Linked DNA regions of Caenorhabditis elegans. Changing the gene in region 1 together with any one later gene gives a genetic interaction. Each region holds a gene or a part of one and is shown in the gene's direction. Other genes may lie near its edges.

The links.
Region 2: of flcn-1 (region 1) and hif-1, changing one suppresses a phenotype caused by changing the other (phenotypic suppression), as found in Caenorhabditis elegans (one study listed by BioGRID).

Annotation. Positions count from the first base shown.
Region 1 is NC_003280.10:6,926,785-6,931,889, forward strand, and holds the start of flcn-1 (Folliculin), read left to right. Parts: upstream 1-1,985; 5' UTR 1,986-2,075; intron 2,076-2,521; 5' UTR 2,522-2,528; coding exon 2,529-2,622; intron 2,623-3,842; coding exon 3,843-3,922; intron 3,923-3,972; coding exon 3,973-4,076; intron 4,077-4,130; coding exon 4,131-4,215; intron 4,216-4,830; coding exon 4,831-5,008; intron 5,009-5,105.
Region 2 is NC_003283.11:20,778,479-20,785,923, forward strand, and holds hif-1 (Hypoxia-inducible factor 1), read left to right. Parts: upstream 1-1,928; 5' UTR 1,929-2,023; coding exon 2,024-2,043; intron 2,044-2,836; coding exon 2,837-3,027; intron 3,028-3,153; coding exon 3,154-3,308; intron 3,309-3,353; coding exon 3,354-3,668; intron 3,669-3,993; exon of another isoform or gene 3,994-4,057; coding exon of another isoform or gene 4,058-4,090; intron 4,091-4,185; coding exon 4,186-4,744; intron 4,745-4,847; coding exon of another isoform or gene 4,848-5,050; intron 5,051-5,259; coding exon 5,260-5,587; intron 5,588-5,657; coding exon 5,658-5,914; intron 5,915-5,994; coding exon 5,995-6,167; intron 6,168-6,215; coding exon 6,216-6,383; 3' UTR 6,384-6,782; downstream 6,783-7,445.

The DNA of each region.
Region 1 (5,105 bases):
GAAGCCGCAGTTCGTTGTGCTGAAGCATGCTTCCTTGTGGGGCGGGAGCAACGAATATGGCGCCGCCCTCCTAGTTTTTTAACGTGTTCTCCGCAATTCTAGCCAATATAATAGTGACATCTAAAAAAGAGACGCAGAATGAGTAGAAGAATGAGAGACTGTAAAATAGTTAACTATTTCTCTAAAGTGTGACAATAGAGAGAGTAATACTTTATGATTACATTATATGTGTCCTGTAATCACGTAAATTAAGATACATTGTTTCCTAGAACCTAATTGGATCATGTTTTTGCAGCTAGTTTGTATGTGGAAAAAGCTCAACTTATTGGAAAGCGATAATTAATTTCAGGAGTTTCCAAGAATTTGGATTCAACATAACATGACAGTCTGAAAAATAAATCCTCCCACTTGTGATCACAGCTGGTCACTTTGCTACCGCCCCCGGCTGCCTGACTCGCATGCCTATTTATTAAAACTGATGTATGTCCGTTTCTGGCTTCATTTCTTGCCCCCTTCTCGATGAATGAAATGACGTCACCAGTTCTTCTTCATCGGTTCCTCGGCGCCAAGTTGTCCAACGCCCCGGCGCCAATTCCTGATGCTTCGGCATCAAGCTATCATTTTCAGTTTGGTTTCTGATGCTAATTCGTGTAATATAACTCTGTCTCGATTGCTCTCTCACAACTTTTCATCGACATTCAGAAGTGAATTTTCTGTGATATTCAGCTTTGAGCTGTGATTCAGCTTTGAACAAATACCTAATGTGATCTTGTGAAGTCAAACTTTAATGAAAATTAAATGAAAGTATTTAGATTGACACGACGACTGAATTATGCTTTCTAAAAACTAATTAAACTTTATATTTCATCAATTGAACGAATTGAACAACGAGGTGGTCCATGTAATAATTATTTCCATCGAATGATTGGTATTTGTGTTGAAAAAAAGCCGCATGTTTCATTTTGTTGTGATTATTATCACCGCACTACTTGTGACTTCCTGTACGCACACTATCCTTTTTCTCCCGCGTAGTCGACATGTCATCATGATACTTTTACGATTCCTTCACACTTTATTTGACTATCCATTGACCGTGTGAAAGTTTGGAATTTTGAGAACGTCAGTCTGAAAATTTAATAACAATATTTATTTTAGACCATTTTGATTATTGTTCTTGGTAAATTTTCTTTTATCGAAACGTTCGTATCATTTTTTCAACGTGTTTAGCAATCAAATGGTACGGTCTCCCATGGAGAAAATGGTCATCTTAACGGTATTTGCCTCCCATGCATGATTTCACGGCGCCCACCCACGCTTTCAAACCGCCGTATTTTATTATTCGTTTTTTTTTTCAAAAATGAGTCAGTCGAAGGAAAAATACGAGGTAAGGGGGTACAAGAGATGTTAAAACACCTACTATTCACTCAAGACTGACTCATAATTCACATTTTAAAGTGGCACACATTTTTTCTTGTCGCCATGAGCTCTAGTTTCAGTTGCCATCGGAAACATCCACAATTTCTGAGGGAATTTTTGCATGATCTTCTTAGCCACGTCGTGGGTCAATACACGTTGATACCCAACATTCTGAATATTTTCTTTTTTTGAAGATTTTTCTTGTTTCTCAAAATGAAGTTGGCGAAACTCCAAGATATTTCAATTTTAATCGCCAAAATTCAAAAATTTTATATTTTGATATAGTCAACAGTTTTTTTCGAAGTAAAAAGTGCTCCAAACGTTAAAAAATTCACCTGTCTGTGATTCGTGTTATACTGCGTCATATCATGTGACTGGCGCCTGAATTGTTTTGTGTCGTGTTACTCTCTAACTCTCTTCACTCTTCACATGCATTTCAACTATTCACAAGCCTGCATCACATTCTGCGTCTTACATTTTTCTTCAATCTCTTACATTTTTTACTCTCTTGGTGCCACTTCTAAAAATGTGTAGTAATTTTTTTAGTACTAAATATATTAAATTTGCAGATATTCATCCACCAATTCCTGGTGAGAATCTCTATTCGACTGCGTCTCTTCATTTGTTACAATACCATCGTCTTTCAACATATAGATAAAGTAAGTTGTTGAAATAATTAAATCTGTTGTGACGAAATAACTTTTCGCAAAATCTAGCTGATTTTCAGCTTATTAAATTTCAAAAATACCTTCGTTTTTTCCCAAAAATGAACACGAAAAAAATTTAAATTTTGCAAGTTTAAAAAGCTTGTTGCAGTCCTAGTGTAATTTTTGAAAAAAAAGTAATTAAACAAATTTATGATTTTTAGGTTAGCGTCAGGCTAACAGATTTTTTTTCGCTCATTTTTATTCGGAAAAAAATCGAAAAAAAAGAAAATTCTCCACTTCGGGTTCAGTTTTAGGGAAAAATTATAGACTAAATTTATTTTTACACGAAAAAAGTCATTTTAGACTTTTTCAAACTAGATCAGTTAAAAATTTGCGAAATGTTGTTTTTATTTTGTTTAAAATAAATTTTAAAAAAAATCAAATTCATGTTTTTACAGAATTCAAATGCAAGCAGTAATAGCACTTTGTCACTTTTGTGAAAACCACGGACCAAGAGTTGTTATGACTTGTCAGCCAATGCGAGACGTTGATGATAAAGGTGAGAAGGAAATAATTTTCAAATTTCAATTATGTTTTAAATACACTAAATTCAAAATGAGATTGTGAATAGAGTAAGGTAGTAGATACTGTTAAAAAAAAGAACAAAAATAGCATCTCGTAATGCGCCATAAAAGTCGCAGAAAAAATTGGTCTAAAAACACTTAAAACGGTTGTTTCAATTTTGGACCAAAAAATGATAATTTAAAATTTTTTTGCTCAAAAACCCCATTTTTGCCAAAAGAAAACTCTAAAAATAAATGAAAATCATGCAAAAATCTTGCCAAATTTGATTGGCTCTGAAATTTTTTGTCAAATAATTCACTGAAAAACCCTCTAAACAATTTTTAAATTTTCCGTAAAAGCTCGCCAAAAAACGGAGATCTTCTAGAGAATTAAAATTCAGAATGTTTGCTTTATGCCCATTTAGTCAAGAATTCGCAACGAATAATTAAAAATTTTTTTAAAAAAGGTCTACATTTCTCGAAAATATATAATTTGTCGCCGATGTTTTTTTTAATTTGAGACAGAAATCGGCAAAAAAAACCAAAAATCTAATAGTTATGGGGAGTAATAAAATTTGGGACAGAAACATACCTCCTCTAATAACCCATAGACCACGACGAAATTTAAAACTAATCAATAGTATCCATAGTTCATTGAATATGATTTTATGGAGCCGAGAAAAATGTATACTGAACATGAAAAGGTCTCATTTTGGCAGAGATAACCACCGGACGAAAAAAAAGATGTGCAGCCAACGGTCTCTCGTTGTCTACGGTCTCTCGTGTTCTCGTAATCTATTTTTTCTTACTGCTAAACAAGCAGAATGTCTCTGGAGACGAAGAGAATATAATGATGGACTGTTTTCATATATTTCATAATAAATGGAACAGCTGAGAAAGAAAATATGCAAAGATATTTTAACAACACACTGCAACTTGCCATTAAAATTTTTTTTTAGTTTACTAAAAACTCAGGAAACATAATTGGAAAGAAATATACAAATGTATTATATTGAAGACTTAGGCTGAATTTCAGTTTATAACTCTTCTAAATAAGATTTCCGGTTATTCGTGTTTTAAAAAAGTGTGCAAGACACGATTTGGAAAAAAACAGGAATCTAGAATTTGATAAAATTAACTTTTTTTCACGAAAATATATTGAGTTAAAAAATTAAATCTATGTGTAAGAACTAATTTTTATTTAAATAAATTTCAGGCGCTTCATGTACAGCTTCAACATCATTAGGACCATCTACAAGTAGCTCACCTCCAGGAATAATAGTTCCTTTAATAAAGGTTCGATAATAATACCAATTTAATTAATAATTTTCATTTTAAAATTTCAGTTCGATGGTGAATGTGTTGTAAAGGAAAAAACTAACACAGAAGATGGCACATCTTATCCCCATTATGGGAATTGTACAAAGTTTACAATTGATACGGAGGACAGGTAATTGAAAAATTAATGTTTTTTTTTTTTAATATTTTAATTAATTTATATTAGATGCTCGGCATGCTCCTCATTTCGAAATGGACCTTGCCTTCTGTCAAATGATCATCAAACAAAAACGAGCTACATCTCTTCAGAGGTAATTTTTTTCAAAACACAACAAAAAACAACAAAAAAAAATTTTGGAAAGGAAGACGAAAAAAGTTTCCCAAAAAAACACGAAAAACACTTTAAAATTTCCAAAAACCGAAATGTTTTTTTTCAAGCTCAAAACGTTATTTTGAGCAAAACTGCTCTCTAGATATAATTTCAATTGTAATTTTTTGAAAAAAAAAAACTGTAAAATTTAATAATTTATGACTAAGAAGCAATTTTTGCCAAAAACACGAAAAAACAAAAAAAAATGGAGAACTTTTTGTAAGAAATTAATAGAAGCTTGAAACGTTTTTGAAAACTTTAATACTTTGATTTCAATGTTTTTTTTTAAAGAAAAAACTGTAAAATTTCGAAAAGCTTTCAAGCTAGGGACAGGTTACCAGAATTTTTCGCCTTGTTTTAAAGTACAATTAAAAAAGTTTTAAAACAATTTTTGCTAACGATGAAAAATAAAGTTGATGAAGAAACATTTAAAAAAATGGCTAAAATTTCAAACTATTTTCTAAAAATCAATTTTTCTCAAAATATCGGAAAAGTGAAAAATCTACTACGCCGACGGGATGTCAATTCGGTTTTTGTAAATATTCTTAATTTTCAGGTAGCACTTCAAGATCGAGTATACGAACGGGTGAAAAATGCGTGCTTACGGTCTCTAAGCTGTGAAGTGTCGGCTGCTTCAAAGAAAAATCCCGTACAACCTCCGCCTCCACCGTTATCAAGGTCTACAACACCCAGAAAGATTCATCCATATGTGATACACGAGGAACCGTTACATGGTTAATTTTATTTCTATTTTAAAACATTTAAAAGTGGAGTAGTGTATGTTGGTTTTTGTCCTGAATGACACAAAACAGTCAATATACCGAATTTAAC
Region 2 (7,445 bases), on another chromosome or scaffold:
ATCTCTTTGGACTCTCTCCAAATCGCACACTATTCAATATGTCTGCCTGCTTGTCTCGTGTCTCCGTGGTTTATGTACTTACTGGGTCAAGAGAGTGTGTTAGATGAGAGGTCTTTTTTTTGGTTTTTCTTCACCTCTCTCAATTTTCAGAGAAAACTCTACTTCTCTAATTCATTTTTTGATCAACGAAGAAATGTTTGGATGCCCATCTTTGGTTTGTAGGCACCGCCCACTAGCTGCTCAGTTTTTCTCTAATGAGAGATTTCAGATTTTCAGAAAATCTATTAATTCTTATAGTTCAAAGGTAACGCTAATAGGTTTGATTTCATTGATCTGTATTTTAAATTTTTATTTAACTCCAATGTCAAAACATAGCTCCTGAACCACATATCGGAAAAAGTTGATCCTTTCCATTATAAAGATATGGACTAAACTCAATTTTCGCTAAATTTAATCAATTATCAGTCACTCTACTTCTCTGTACTCTAGCTTTCCCCCAATTTTTTGTCTAACATTCTGTCAATCGACAGTCTCTGAGAAGTCGTTTTGCCCACTGTCGTTCAATTTCTTGTCTTATCAACATCTTTCTTCTTACATTTTGTCGTCGCCTCCCGCTTGTTGATGATGACTATCTGTTTCCCTCGTTTCATATGACTATTGATTTTATTTAATGTTCCAATAACTTTCGACAATTCTTTATTATATTTTGAGGATTTATATTAATTGTGCACTCTCTTGATGTATCGATATTTTCAATTTCTCGATTAAGCTAAAAAGTGTGATATGAGATGTAAGGACTAGCTTTATTAGACTCAAAACTGTCTGAAAACACCAAATTTCTTAATGAAACTTTTTGAAAACTTCTCAAAAAAATTATGGTGGCTCAAAAAGGACCTAAAATCAGTTAAATTTTAAAATTTGAGCAACTCTCAGCGGCTGAAAACTTATTTTTTTGTCATATTTTGGGCCGCCATAGTTTTTTTGTGTCCTTTTCAAAAATTTAATTAGAAAATTCGGTGTTTTCAGACAATTTTGAGTGTAATAGAGTAATTAAAAATTCGACTACACCGCCTTTAAGTCCAAAGATTGATTGAATCCCGATCTTAACTATTTTATTTGAAATTCACTTGATAATAAGGATAAACTAAAATCACTACACAAACTACCCTTTCTGAACTTGAGTATAGTTATCTTCAAAAACATTATTGTTTACGCTCGGTGAAAACACTACATTCTAGTGATTCCCCTGTTCTTTGACTTACTTCAACTACAATTTTTTCAAAGATTGATCGTAGTTCATTCATAGTTTGATGTTAGTCACCCCCTCAATCTTGCCCCATTCATACCATTGACGTAACATCAATATCCAGATTTATATTTTTGAATCGGGAAAATTTTGCTTTTAATCTTTTTGTGTGCCCTTTTCTCCTTCACTGGCTTATCACATGATTCTTGTAATCAGTTTGTATTCACTCAATATAAAGAAATTGACAATTTTTCTTGAATTGAATTCAGCGAAATTTCCAGTCTACCTAAGTTCTTGTTTTTAGATTTGGGTTTTAAATTGAGCATTTGATCTCTATGATTTGTTTTCTGCAACATTCTTATGATACTTGCCTAACAAATAGTCAATTGTCCATGAAATTGTTACAAATCTTGACGTCCTCTGGGACCCCGTCCAAACAACTGTCACTAACATATCCAATCGATCGTTTTGTGCACCCTTGGTATTTATGATGTTTCAATTTGTCTCACTACACTCTACCCTAGTGCTATAAATCATAACTAAACTTGATTTTTTATTCAAAAGTGTTAACATTCGAAAATCTAACAACCCCTTATGTTCTCAATGATAATTTTAAGAACATTTGATACAATTTTTCTAATTCCCTCTACCCGATTCTATTCAATTTAAAATTGTCATACATTTTCAGCCCACCTGAAAGTTGCCCGTCATTACGGGGAAGTTGCCCCAATCACACCAACCTCAGCTTCACTGAAGCTGCACCTATTCACTATCAAGATGGAAGACAATCGGAAAAGGTAGAGTTAGAATTCTGTTAGAATCGAAATTCATTCTTAAACATTCCATGATTGGATGCCTGAAAACGCTAGAAGTACCGTAGTCCTTTGGGTTTGCTCCATGCTCTGCTCGCAAATGAGAGAGAGGGAGCATTGGCAGAGGTAGATGTATTGAAAATGCGCATTTCCGAATCGAATATCAAATGTGAATCATCTATATAAAATATATCTCGCTCTTTTTAGACACAACTCATTTTTAATCGGAGATGTTAGATAAAGTAAATTATGAAAATAAATTGTGAAATAATTGTGATTGAAGGTGGAGTAGCGCCAGTGGCAGTTTTGCCTAAAAAATACACTTACAATGGCTCGAAACAACCAAAAATCATAATAAAACACTTAAAAATTTTTTAGATTTTTCATAATTTCCGGTCAAAGTTTTGGCAAATGGCCAAAATTTTTACAAACATAAGTATTTGAGGAATGCCGCATGTTCCGATCCCTACTATGCTTCCAAAATTATGAGTGGCAAAAATTGAGTGATTATCATCTAACGGACGGTAAATAAACAATTTCAAAAAATTTTTGACAATTTTTAATTTGATATTCGGTCATTTTAGTACCATTGGATTAGTTTTCAACACTTTCTCCACTGGCTCCTCCTACTCCACCTTTGAAAAAATAAATTTTCCCAGTTATACTTAAAACTAAATTAAATCGAAAAACCTCATGAGAAGTGTACTTATATAGGTATATAATTTTTTGAAATTCACCAATTTTGGGGTGACAAGAAATTCAAAATCAAACTTTTTAGAAACATGGAACGCCGTCGTGAAACATCGAGACACGCGGCTCGTGATCGTCGGTCTAAAGAATCGGATATATTTGATGATCTGAAAATGTGTGTGCCTATTGTTGAAGAAGGTACCGTAACTCATCTAGACCGTATTGCACTTCTTCGTGTTGCCGCCACAATTTGTCGACTGCGCAAGACAGCCGGTAATGGTAAGTGACATCGAATAAAGAAATAGTTGATTCAACATCAAAAATCACTTGAAAATCGTGTTTTATGCTGAGAAAATCGACCAAAAATCACTGCCAATTTTTCTCAAATTAATATTTTTCTTTCAGTATTGGAAAACAATTTGGACAATGAAATCACAAATGAGGTATGGACTGAAGACACCATCGCCGAATGCTTGGACGGCTTTGTTATGATTGTTGACAGTGATTCTTCAATTCTTTACGTCACTGAAAGTGTTGCAATGTATTTAGGATTAACACAGGTGAGCAATAGAAAACTTGCTTCTTTAACATCGATATATTTTCAGACAGATTTAACAGGTCGAGCCCTTCGAGACTTTCTTCATCCATCCGACTATGACGAGTTTGACAAGCAATCAAAAATGCTGCACAAGCCACGTGGCGAGGACACAGACACCACCGGCATCAACATGGTGCTTCGAATGAAGACAGTCATCAGCCCACGTGGAAGATGTCTGAATTTGAAGAGTGCTTTGTACAAATCAGTGTCTTTCCTGGTTCATTCAAAAGTTTCAACTGGTGGACACGTGTCATTCATGCAAGGTATCACAATTCCTGCTGGACAGGGTACAACTAATGCAAATGCATCTGCAATGACAAAGGTGAATATCTGCTTTGAATGTTTCATAGTAAGATTCTAAAGTTTGAACTTTTGATCTTGGGAATTTCTGCTCCTCCTTTCCGCTTCTTGATAAACTGATGGAATTGTGAGACAAAATGTTGAGTAGACGTTACACAATTTCATTTTCTTCTTATTCTTCTGCTCGCTCGAAAAGTTTGTTCTTTTGATCTTTAAAATAGAGAATAGTGCTTTGAGCAAAGCACACTCAGCCGTTGGCACCTCGCGCATAGAAAACAGGATTAGAAAATTGGAGAGAAGTAGAGAAGCACAAGCACATGCAACTTGGCGTCATCTTCTCCTTTTTTGAAGCAGAAGAGAAAACGGAGAAGATGTTACATCTTGTATTGCTGCTCCGTTTGCAAAAGTAAAATGAGCAGGGACTCTGAATACCTAGATAGAAAAGTGAGTCCTAAAGGGCGTGTATATTCGAAAACTTTTTCAAATCAGATTTATAGATGCTATAAGTTTAATAAAAATATAGATGGATTAATTTACAGTACACGGAAAGCCCAATGGGTGCATTCACAACTCGTCACACTTGCGACATGCGCATCACTTTCGTTTCGGATAAGTTCAATTACATCTTGAAAAGTGAGCTGAAGACTCTCATGGGCACCAGTTTCTACGAATTGGTACATCCAGCCGATATGATGATAGTATCAAAATCCATGAAGGAACTTTTTGCCAAAGGACACATCCGTACCCCGTATTACCGGTTGATTGCTGCAAATGACACACTTGCCTGGATTCAAACAGAAGCTACTACAATCACACATACGACGAAAGGACAAAAAGGACAATATGTCATTTGTGTTCATTACGTTCTCGGAATCCAAGGAGCTGAAGAGTCATTGGTAGTTTGCACTGATTCAATGCCAGCTGGAATGCAAGTAGATATCAAGAAGGAAGTGGATGATACAAGAGACTATATTGGAAGACAACCTGAAATTGTGGAATGCGTCGATTTTACTCCATTGATCGAGCCAGAAGATCCATTTGATACGGTTATTGAGCCAGTCGTTGGTGGAGAAGAACCTGTTAAGCAGGCTGATATGGGTAAGTACATGTTTAAGAACGTATTAAAAGTTTGTAATTATACAGTTTGATTCACCTAAGTTTTTTTTATCCAAATTGAATAATTTACGAGGTACGTATATAGGAATTTATTCGGTGACGGATGAGTATGAGCAACGTGTTTATGGGCAAATTTCTGCCGGCAATGATATAGAAGACTGCGATATGGATTCTGATACAGAATCCATAGAAGATTCCGGTTTAGCACCGGAATTCGATGTGGATCTGGCTCCGATTTATAATGAGAAAATGGAAGTTGACGGAGAGGATGAGGACGGCGGAGAGGAGGTACTTTGGGAAATGGGATTATGATTACTAAGTTAAAAAAACAACAGATCGCAGTTTTCCCCTCCGTTGTCCTCATACCTCCGTGAGTTTCTCTTTTTCTTATTTTCAAACTTGTCAAACTTGTCCATGCATGTCGTATTATTTTTTACCCTACGCCTACTCAAAGTTCCATACATTTAGCAAGTGATTTCTTAACGTGTGTATTTCAGGAGCACGTAAGAACAGCTACGATGACGTTTTGCAATGGCTTTTTCGCGACCAGCCAAGCTCTCCGCCGCCGGCACGCTACCGGTCAGCGGACCGCTTCAGGACAACCGAACCGTCGAATTTCGGTTCCGCTCTGGCCTCGCCGGACTTCATGGATTCGTCATCTCGTACCTCCCGACCGAAGACATCATACGGACGAAGAGCACAAAGTCAGGGAAGTCGAACAACTGGATCGTCTTCCACGTCAGCATCGGCCACATTGCCACACAGTGCCAACTACTCGCCACTTGCAGAGGGCATCTCACAATGTGGACTTAACAGTCCCCCGAGGTTAGTTTTTTATACATTTTTCACAATTAGCACGTTGAGCATGTACATGTTTATAATATCCTTGTATCAGTTGCAGTATCAAATCTGGACAAGTCGTGTACGGAGACGCTCGATCTATGGGACGTAGCTGCGATCCGTCCGATTCGTCACGACGCTTTTCCGCCCTTTCACCATCAGATACTCTCAATGTGTCGTCCACTAGAGGCATCAACCCAGTCATCGGAAGCAATGATGTGTTCTCCACTATGCCTTTTGCCGATTCTATCGCCATTGCCGAAAGGATCGATTCGTCGCCAACATTAACCTCTGGCGAACCAATACTTTGTGGTTAGTTTTTTTTAAATGTTCAAATCAATCTCATTCGTGAAAGAAATCAGATAACTTTCAACAAAATGTTTAACTTTCAGACGATCTTCAATGGGAAGAGCCTGATTTATCGTGCTTGGCACCATTCGTTGACACTTATGATATGATGCAAATGGACGAGGGGTTACCACCAGAGCTTCAAGCTCTTTACGACTTGCCTGACTTTACACCTGCGGTACCTCAAGCCCCAGCTGCTCGGCCTGTGCACATTGACGTAAGCCTGTTTTGTTTTTGGCTCCTAACATTATGTTAATTTTTGCAGAGAAGCCCACCAGCGAAGCGAATGCACCAATCAGGTCCCTCAGATTTAGATTTTATGTACACTCAACATTATCAACCATTCCAACAAGACGAGACATATTGGCAAGGACAGCAACAGCAAAATGAACAACAGCCTAGTTCTTATTCCCCATTTCCAATGCTCTCTTGATTATTTTCTACCCCCTCTCAAACTGTTCATTGTTTTGTTTTCAAAAATATACTCTTCATTCATTCAAGTCACACTTCTTATTACTTAATTCTATTGCTCTTTTTAAGAATAATGAGTTTCAAGAATCCTCCCCGATAAATTTTCCCCCATTCCTTTTTCCCTTTCCCTCTGATTTCTTTATTTAGTAAAAAAAAGAAGAATCGTAGTACAAAACGTGTCTATCTGTGTGTCCGTTTGTCCGTTTTTCCCATCTCCATAGTGATAGTTAATTGCATCATTTATACAACGAATCTTCTTATGTTAAGTTTTCTTTTCATTTTTTCACAATGCTCTCGTCTCATTCATTTTCAAAATTCTGTCCGTCTTCGTTTTCTTCTCGATAAAACCTTTTTGGTTTGATCATCTTTTTAAAACTTTACAAAAAGCACTATTACAGAGTTTAGCATTCATTTTTGTGGAAAATATCTGAAATTTTGAGGTATGAGCTTGTAAAGTGAAAACGCGTCTAAATCTATTCGTCTTGATTTACAAATTACTTCAAACGTACGATCTTCCTATTAGACTTTCACTTCTTAGTAGTACTGCACCTCGAACACCTTCTAAAATTTAGACTGTTTATTTTGAAATGTTTTTTTGCAAAATTACAACAAGGCTAGGATTATTGCATTTTTGTTCCAATTAACCACAATTTTGCAAAATGTCTTTCAGAAACAGTTGTTCTTGTAAATGAAAACATGGAATCCTAAACAAAAAAGGCGTATGAAAATTAGTATTGCACAACCTAGTTGTAATGCATTCGCTTTGAAAAATAGTATTGCATTCATATTAATAGATAATGAATACATATACGCATCAGACCTCCGGTTTTTTTTGTGGAAAAAGCGAAAAATGAAAAATTTTCTTACTTTTTTCTGTTTTCCAATTATTCGGTTTTTCGATTTTTCGGTTTTGCACAAGAAAAACTAAAAAATGGTCATGCAATAGTCAATGTTGAAAACTGTCAGTTTCAATAATTTCCGACAATCGGGGGTTTTATGCAATTTTATAAGTTTCAATATGCTA